Oryctolagus cuniculus: one gene and its partner. The protein of the gene in region 1 purifies or fractionates together with the protein of each later gene. This does not show direct contact. Links are inferred from orthologs where the notes say so. Each region holds a gene or a part of one and is shown in the gene's direction. Other genes may lie near its edges.

Evidence for each region. Proteins that work in one complex are often made in the same cells at the same time.
Region 2: the proteins of STX10 (region 1) and NAPA purify together in Homo sapiens (affinity purification with mass spectrometry; 3 studies listed by BioGRID and IntAct, with this or other methods). This does not show direct contact. The link is inferred for Oryctolagus cuniculus from reciprocal best matches to the Homo sapiens genes STX10 and NAPA.

Annotation. Positions count from the first base shown.
Region 1 is NC_091447.1:62,546,681-62,550,901, reverse strand, and holds STX10 (syntaxin-10), read left to right. Parts: upstream 1-1,421; 5' UTR 1,422-1,436; coding exon 1,437-1,691; intron 1,692-1,842; coding exon 1,843-2,041; intron 2,042-2,179; coding exon 2,180-2,274; intron 2,275-2,371; coding exon 2,372-2,434; intron 2,435-3,111; coding exon 3,112-3,219; intron 3,220-3,325; coding exon 3,326-3,432; intron 3,433-3,517; coding exon 3,518-3,612; intron 3,613-3,702; exon of another isoform or gene 3,703-3,709; coding exon 3,710-3,786; 3' UTR 3,787-4,081; downstream 4,082-4,221. UniProt on the Homo sapiens protein: SNARE involved in vesicular transport from the late endosomes to the trans-Golgi network.
Region 2 is NC_091449.1:10,142,322-10,145,821, forward strand, and holds part of NAPA (alpha-soluble NSF attachment protein), read left to right. Parts: intron 1-685; coding exon 686-732; intron 733-1,256; coding exon 1,257-1,334; intron 1,335-1,655; coding exon 1,656-1,711; intron 1,712-1,781; coding exon 1,782-1,866; intron 1,867-2,420; coding exon 2,421-2,525; intron 2,526-3,006; coding exon 3,007-3,075; intron 3,076-3,351; coding exon 3,352-3,402; intron 3,403-3,500. UniProt on the Homo sapiens protein: Required for vesicular transport between the endoplasmic reticulum and the Golgi apparatus. Together with GNA12 promotes CDH5 localization to plasma membrane.

The DNA of each region.
Region 1 (4,221 bases):
CCACCGGGCGGAGGGGGCGGGTGTGGGTGGTCGTCCGCAGACTCCGGAACGCAGCCCAGCCATCGCCCACAGGCTCACCGCTGCGATGCGACACCCCCCAGGTGGGCTGGGCCCCGGCCGCAAACGGGGCACGGGCCCCGGCGACGAACACGTGGCTGCCGCCCCCCGTCGGCGGCGGAGGAGAGGGGGCCCTGCTCTGCCTCTGCGCCCCGGGGGGGCGGAGCTGGAAACTGAGCCACGCGGAGAAAACATCGGCCCCACCCTCCGCCACGAGAAGACTCAATTCCCGTAGCTTAAAAAAAAAATAGAAAAAAAAAAGAACATTGTTCAAATGGTTGCATTCACTCGTGGTGCGGGCCCTTTAAGAGGCGCCCTCCACCCCCCTCCCCCGGCTTACGCAGCCTTCCCGCCACTGGGGCCCCGCTGACTTCCACAGCTAAATTTGGAAGAAGTGACGTAGGGCGAACGCGCCAGCCACTTCCGGCTGCCCATATAAGGACATGGGGCTGGGAGCACCACGGCGGGCGGGAGCGGGCTTCCGGGGGCGGAGCCTCGGCTCTGGGCACGCCCCCTCCTCCGCCCCCGCCCCACCCCCGTGCGCGCGGACTGCCGCGGCCGGCTGGAGCCTGGGGCTTCTGGGGGCGGGGCCTCGGCCCGGACACGCCCCCTCCGCGGCTGCCGCCCCGCCCCCGCGCGGCCGGCTGGAGCCTGGGGCTTCCGGACTCGGAGTCCGTCGGGGCCGGGCGTGTGGGGCGGGGGAAGAGGAAGGCGGCGTTTCCTTCCCTCGTGGGGGCCAGGAAGGAGCGACGCCCCTCCGGGCAAGCACCCCGCCCGCGCGGGCTCCCACTACGGAACCCCCCGACGGCGGCGACCCTGAAAGGACCCCCCAAATCACCTCATCCTTAACCGATCCCGCCCCTGCCCTACAGTCCAGAAGTCCCGTCTGCAGGCCGCACACAGCGGCGACTCTGCCCCACACCACGGGCGACCCCCGGAGGCATCCCGCACACCCTCCCGAGAGGGGAGACCCGGCCCCCCACCTCCGATTTCCCGGGGACCTTCACCGGGGTGCCTCCTCAGGGGTCCCCCTCAGGCTCGCGCGCCCAGGTGACACCACACCCGCCCCCCAGGGGTCTCCTCCCGCGGTCGCTCCGCCCCAATACGACCTCGGGGGTTCTCCCCCCACCCACCCACGCCCTGCAGGAAGAGCGCCGCTAAAATGCCCGCAGCCCTTCCCACACCTGCTGCTGGGGACCCTGGGCTGGGACGGACGCCCCGGGGCGGGCTCCGGGGATGGAACCCACTGACCCCCCACCCTTTCTCAGCTGGAATCCGACTATTATTATTTACACTGCCTCAAAAGCAAACAATTCACTTAGACTGCGAACCCCTCCCGCCCATTCAACGGCCCGGCACTGTGACTGAGAAGGCGGGACATGCGGACCGGAAGTGTGGCCTTTGCCCACACCCAAGATGGCGGCAGCGGGAACGGAAGTTTCCTCCTTTCGGACCTCTCTCTCCTCTGGAGGTCCCGCTCTCGATGGTGGCGAACCGGGGGCGGGGGTGGCGGCGCTTCCTCCTGGGCTGCGAGGCAACCAAGTGGCTCGCGAGCCCCAGCCCGGAGGGGCTGCGGCCTCCTGGGGGAGGGGGGCGGCCATGTCTCTCGAAGATCCATTCTTTGTAGTGCGAGGGTGAGTGACAGCGACGGGGCCGGGGAGGGCGATCGGTGCGCGCGCCGGCCGTCGGGGCTGGGGTCTCCGGGAGGGTCTGGGGGTGGGGGTGGGGGTCTCTGGAGCCTCAGGTTCGTTCGGGGGCGACGCGATTGGGTCCGCCTGCCCCCAGCCGCGCTGCTGCTGTGCCCCCGCCCGCAGCGAGGTGCAGAAGGCGGTGAACACGGCCCGCGGGCTGCACCAGCGCTGGTGCGAACTCCTCCAGGAAGGCGGCACGGGCGGCCGCGAGGAGCTGGACTGGACGGCCAATGAGCTGCGAAATGGCCTGCGCAGCATCGAATGGGACCTCGAGGACCTGGAAGAGACCATCGATATCCTCCGGGAGAGCTACGAACGCGCTGGCACTGCCCGGGTCGGGGGTGGGGGGTGGGCACTGAGAGGCCGGATCCCCCTGGGGGTGGAGGGGGTTCGTCTCTAGCCCTGGCCTTGACCCTTGACTCCCAGCCCACGAATCGTGGAAGCCAACCCCGGCAAGTTCAAGCTGCCCGCTGGGGATCTGCAGGAGAGAAAGGAATTTGTGGAGCGGATGCGGGAGGCGGTGCAGGTGCGCAGAGGGCCCGGTTGTGGGGGGTGGGGTGGGGAGCGTGCAGAAGTCAGGGTGTCTTTCCTCCCTAATACCACCGTCCTCGTCCCCCTCCCAGGAAATGAAGGACCATATCGTGAGCCCGGCCGCCATAGCCTTCATGGAGAGGAAAAACAGAGAGGTACGGCGTCCTTACTCTATGCCCATCTGAATCCCTGGGCGTTGCTTTTCCCCCTGTTATTGTTCCCTAAACAATGCAATCGTGCTTATTATGTTCGCGGGAAAAAATGGAAATCAAAGTTACACACACACACACACACATATGCACACACGGGTTCCTCTGTTGCAGAACCTGGGGTCCGTTTCCGGCTCCACCTTCCTGCTAATGCACATCTTAGGAGGCCAGCTCGCTCCTAATGTGCGCCCTGGGAGCCAGCAGGGGATGGCTCAAGGCTTTGGATCTCTCCACCCACCCACCCACGTGGGAGACTCAGATTGAGTTCCTGGCTCCTGGCTTCAGCCCGGCCTGGCCCTGAATGTAGGGGGCAGGGAGACATTTGGGGAGTGAACCTGTGGATAGATCTCTCTCTGTGTGTCTCTGTTCCAAGCCTTTTCCATGGCTCCATTCATTAAATCCTCATTCCAGGATCAGGAAGGTTATAGGTCTCCCCCTTTTCAGATGAAAAAATTGAGGGTCGGTGACAAGGCTGCCTTGGGGTCCCCTTTGCTAGTGTTGTAGGTGGCAGGTGTGAGGACTTCTGGCTGTCCCACCCCAGATGCCGCCCCCCAGCCCCACAGTGCAGACCTGCCCTGAGGTGGCCGGCCCTCCCCTAACTTGTGACCCGCGTGTCTCTGCAGATGTTGGCGGGCAAACCAGCTGCCCAGAAGTCACCCAGCGACCTGCTGGACGCCAGCGTGGTCTCGGCCACTTCTCGATACATTGAGGAGCAGCAGGCCACGCAGCAGGTGTGTGCTGGTGGCCAGGGGACCCCCCCAGGGTAGGGGTGGGGGCGGTCCCTGCCGACAGCAAACAGCTGGCACCCTTCCTCCTCGCCCCCACCCCTCCCCGCAGCTGATCATGGACCAACAGGACCAACAGCTGGACATGGTGTCCGGGAGCATCCGGGTCCTAAAACACATGTCCGGCCGCGTCGGGGAGGAGCTGGACGAGCAGGGCAGGTGAGGCAGGGGACTCCAGCAGTGGGTGGGTACCCCCGGGGCCGGTGTGCTTGGGGGCCCTGGAACACCACTGTGGTCTTGACAGTATGCTGGATGCCTTTGGCCACGAGATGGACCACACCCAGTCCCGCATGGACGGCGTCCTCCGTAAGATGGCCAAGGTGTCCCACATGACGAGCGGTGAGTCACGCGTGCCCGTCTGGAAGGGGGCGGGTAACAGGTGGCTCCGCCTCCACCCCACCCACCCCGCTGTGACTCCACCCCTTTCCCATTCTAGATCGCCAGCAGTGGTGTGCCATCCTGGTGCTTCTTGGGGTGCTGCTCCTGGTCTTGCTCCTGCTGGTCTTGCTCTGACCTTGACCTATGCGACCTGCCCGCTGGGCCTGCCCCCACCCCCAGGAGGAACAGCTGGAGCCCCCCCCCAGGCTCTCATCCAGGGCCCTGGGCTGAAGCACCCCCCACACCACCACCACCACCAGGGTCCTGTCTCAAGTGCACTTAGCGGGTGGAGGTGGGAGACCTGCCACACTCCCCCCACCCCCAACCCGTGTTAACTTCCGGGACCCCAGGGCCGTCAGTGGTGGCCATTGTACCTTCACAAGTGCCAATCTGGAAATAAACCCGCAGCCTTTTTTTTTTTTTAAATATGTATTTGTATCCTGCATCATGTTGATTTTGAACTTGTAGCTGACCCCAGCTCATTGCACCCACTGCGGGGGTCTGTGTGTGTATGTGACTGTGTATGACTGCCATAGCGGATGTTTGGGAGAGAAACAATGCTTCTGGTAA
Region 2 (3,500 bases), on another chromosome or scaffold:
CTTCCTGGTAGCACCCCGCTGCCGTGGTCTGCCCGGGCCCTGCTGCCCCCCTGCCTGCCAGCAGCCGTTTCCTGAGATGCGTTAAAGTGATGTTCTTAAAAATGCCCACCCGAGAGCTCGCGTCTGCTGGAAGACGCCTCCCACTCAGCTTCTCTCCTCCAAATAACCTGTCAAAAAAAAAACAAAAAAAAAAAAACCTTTCCCAAATTTGAAGTCTTGCAAGAGATGGCACAGCAGAGGTAGCCAGTTCCTCCTCTGGTGCTGTGCTGGTGTGCTTGGGTTTCTGGTGACACCTGCAGGTACCCAGGCCAGATCGGGGGACCGAGAGCTGTGTCCGCCTGCCCGCCCCCTCACCAGGATGTGGGGCAGGAAGCTGGCAAGGGCATACACAAGGCGTCAGTGTGCACAGCCCGCAGCCGCTAAGCGCACTGCACCAGGCCCGGCTGCCCTTGGCCCTGCCACGCCCCTGAGAACCAAGGCAGGCCTGCTTCAAAGCACCCACGGGCAGCTGGCCGTCCTCCGGACATGGCACCGTGGGAGAGGGGCCCTGCTGCAAGACTGCCCAGCGAGTCAGTCCAGCCACCCCTCTGGGTGCCCGGGATCCACGGGCAGGCCCGGCCTCCCCTCCGCAGGCTGCTACGAGGACTTCACTCTCATGTCTCCCACCTCCCTGTTCTCTCCACAGAGGCCATCAACTGTCTGATGAGAGCCATCGAGATCTACACGGACATGGTGAGGGTCCCGGCTGCCCCTCCCTCCCCCAGGGCCCTGCCTTCTGTGCCAAGCAGGTGCGGAAGGGGATGTGGGAACCTGCGGGCTCCCTGAGCTGAGAGTGGTCCCCTCAACTGGTTCAGGCTGGCTGGGACAGGAGCACGACAGTCCCACTCTCCCCTGGCCTGCCTCGCCTAGCCGGCCCCTCGCAGCAGTGAGGCTGGCCCAAGGGTCAGCAGAGCCTCAAGGGAGCTCAGCCCCCACCTCCCCACCCCCGCGCCTGCGATGCAGCCCAGGAGCCAGTGATGGATGACCTGCACGGCCTGGGCGCTGCCCGCTCCTGCCTCTTGGCCTCCCCTCGCCCACTGTGCAGAGGGTGGGCTGGGGCTGTGGGAATCCCTGTGATTACTGCGCACCAGGCTGAGGCCGGTCGGAGAGTGCTCAGCCCCCGGGAACCCAGGGCGTCCCAAGGCCTGGACAGGAGGACCCTGAAGAGCCACGGCCGAATGTCGATGGCCACAGTGACCTCTTCTGTGTCACCCCAGGGCCGGTTCACCATCGCAGCCAAGCACCACATCTCCATCGCCGAGATCTATGAGACAGAGCTGGTGGACATTGAGAAGGTGAGCGGGGGCCGGGGGTCGGGACCAGGGCCTCTAACCCCCACCCCGCGGACATTGAGAAGGTGGGGGGCGGGGCTGGGGCCTCTCACCCCCCCCCACATTGAGATGGTGAGCGGGGCCGGGGGCCAGGACCAGGGCCTCCAACCCCCACCCCGCGGACATTGAGAAGGTGGGGGGCGGGGCCGGGTCCTCTCACCCCCCCCCCCCCATTGAGAAGATGAGAGCGGAGCCTCTCACCCCCCTGCCGGGGGTTGGGCTTCTCTGATATCTGAGCCCCAGGAAAGGGGCCTCCCTGCCCCCCTCCCTCTCGTGTCTCCCCAGGCCATTGCCCACTACGAGCAGTCCGCGGACTACTACAAAGGCGAGGAGTCTAACAGGTACCCGGCCCCCCGCCTGCCCCGCCCCTCGGCGGCCCACCTGCCGCCCCTCACCCCGCCCCTCCCGCAGCTCAGCCAACAAGTGTCTGCTGAAGGTGGCCGGCTACGCCGCGCAGCTGGAGCAGTATCAGAAAGCCATCGACATCTATGAACAGGTGGGGACCCCTGCCCAGGGCCCCCCTCTCCTTTCACCCACTCCCCGCTCTGTCACCCCCTTGGCCTCCCTGGTGCACGGCCAGGCTAACGTGTGCACCCACAGCCCAGCCCTTGCGGTGCAGTGTCCCCTTCCCGCCCATTCGCACGTGGCTTCCTGGGGAGGATGGGAGGCCTGGGCGGCCCTGGGGCCCTCCTCCGTGGTGGGAGGCAGGGAGTGTCACGCGGCTCCCACGGCTGTGCCAGGAGGGCTGGGCCACGGCCATGAGGGAGGCAAGCAGCTGGCCCCGGGGGGAGAGAGGGGCGGGCGCTGCCTCCTGTTCCCGTGGCTGCCGCCCCCTGCCCGCCAACGCGCCAGCCTTCTCCCCATGGTCTCAGGCGCCCCGAGGCCCAGGGTCACCTGGCTTCAGCCCCCACCCCGGCCACCATCAGGTCCTGGTCCTGGTCACTTCGGTTCCAGGTGCTCACCCAGGCCCTTGTCTCCCTGCCCACGGGTCCCAGATTAGCAGGGCTTGTCCCCAGGGGCCTGAGGTCACAGTGCTGGCTCTGGCTACAGGTGGGGACCACCGCCATGGACAGCCCCCTCCTCAAGTACAGCGCCAAGGACTACTTCTTCAAGGCGGCCCTGTGCCACTTCTGCATCGACATGCTCAACGCCAAGGTGAGCCCAGGCCCCCAGCTCGCTCGCGGCTGGCCGCCCGCCTTGGTGGGGGCGCTCTGGCTCCTTGCCGCCCCCCGCGGGCCAGCCTGTTGTGCACAGGAAGCCCTCCCTGACCGGCCCCCCGGGCCCTCCCCATGGCTTTGTTGGGCCAGGTTCACATCCCCCCGCCCTGTGCGCTGAACGGTCACTGCCCTCTGGCCCTCCCAGGGTTCACGCAGGGGTCAAGGGTGTGAGGGGCCAGGCTTGCCTTGTTTGCTCCCCTCCCCCGCCAGGCCAGGCTGGGCACTGGACACCTGCCCCCACCGCCCACCTCCCCTGCAGCCCGCTCCACAGCCAGGCTGGCTCCAGGCTCGGCTCCCGGAGGCACCGCTGGGCACAGAGCCAGGGGGCCCCGCGCAGGGGAGGGGCAGGGCGCTGACTCAGGGCTGCCAGGCCCCTCTGTTAACTGCCCTCTCCCTGTCCCCAACCCTCACCCGCCCAGCTCGCTGTCCAGAAGTATGAGGAGCTGTTCCCAGCCTTCTCTGATTCCCGGGAGTGCAAGCTGATGAAAGTGAGTGCCAGGCCCTCGCTGCCCTGCCCCCGCCTCGGGGGGCGCGGGCTCCGGCTGTCCGACAGTCTTCCGAGGGTTCGCCTCCCTCTGTCTGGGTTCTCCTTACAGTCAGGGCCGGAAGCCTGGGTTCCTCCTCTCCCTCCCTCCCTCTCTCCGTCACACACACACTCCCCGAGACAGGGTAGGGTGGGGTGGGAGCACAGCCTGCCCTTCCCCCGTGGCGTGAGGGCCCCAGACGGGCAAGCAAGGCCTGACCCCTGTGCCCTGCGCCTGCAGAAGTTGTTGGACGCCCACGAGGAGCAGAACGTGGACAGCTACACGGAGTCGGTGAGTGGCCCTCGGAACGTCACCTTCTCTAACCCCGGCTCACCCTGGAGAGACCCGGGAACAGCGGATGGGGCAGGTGGGAGGGGCTGACTTCCTGT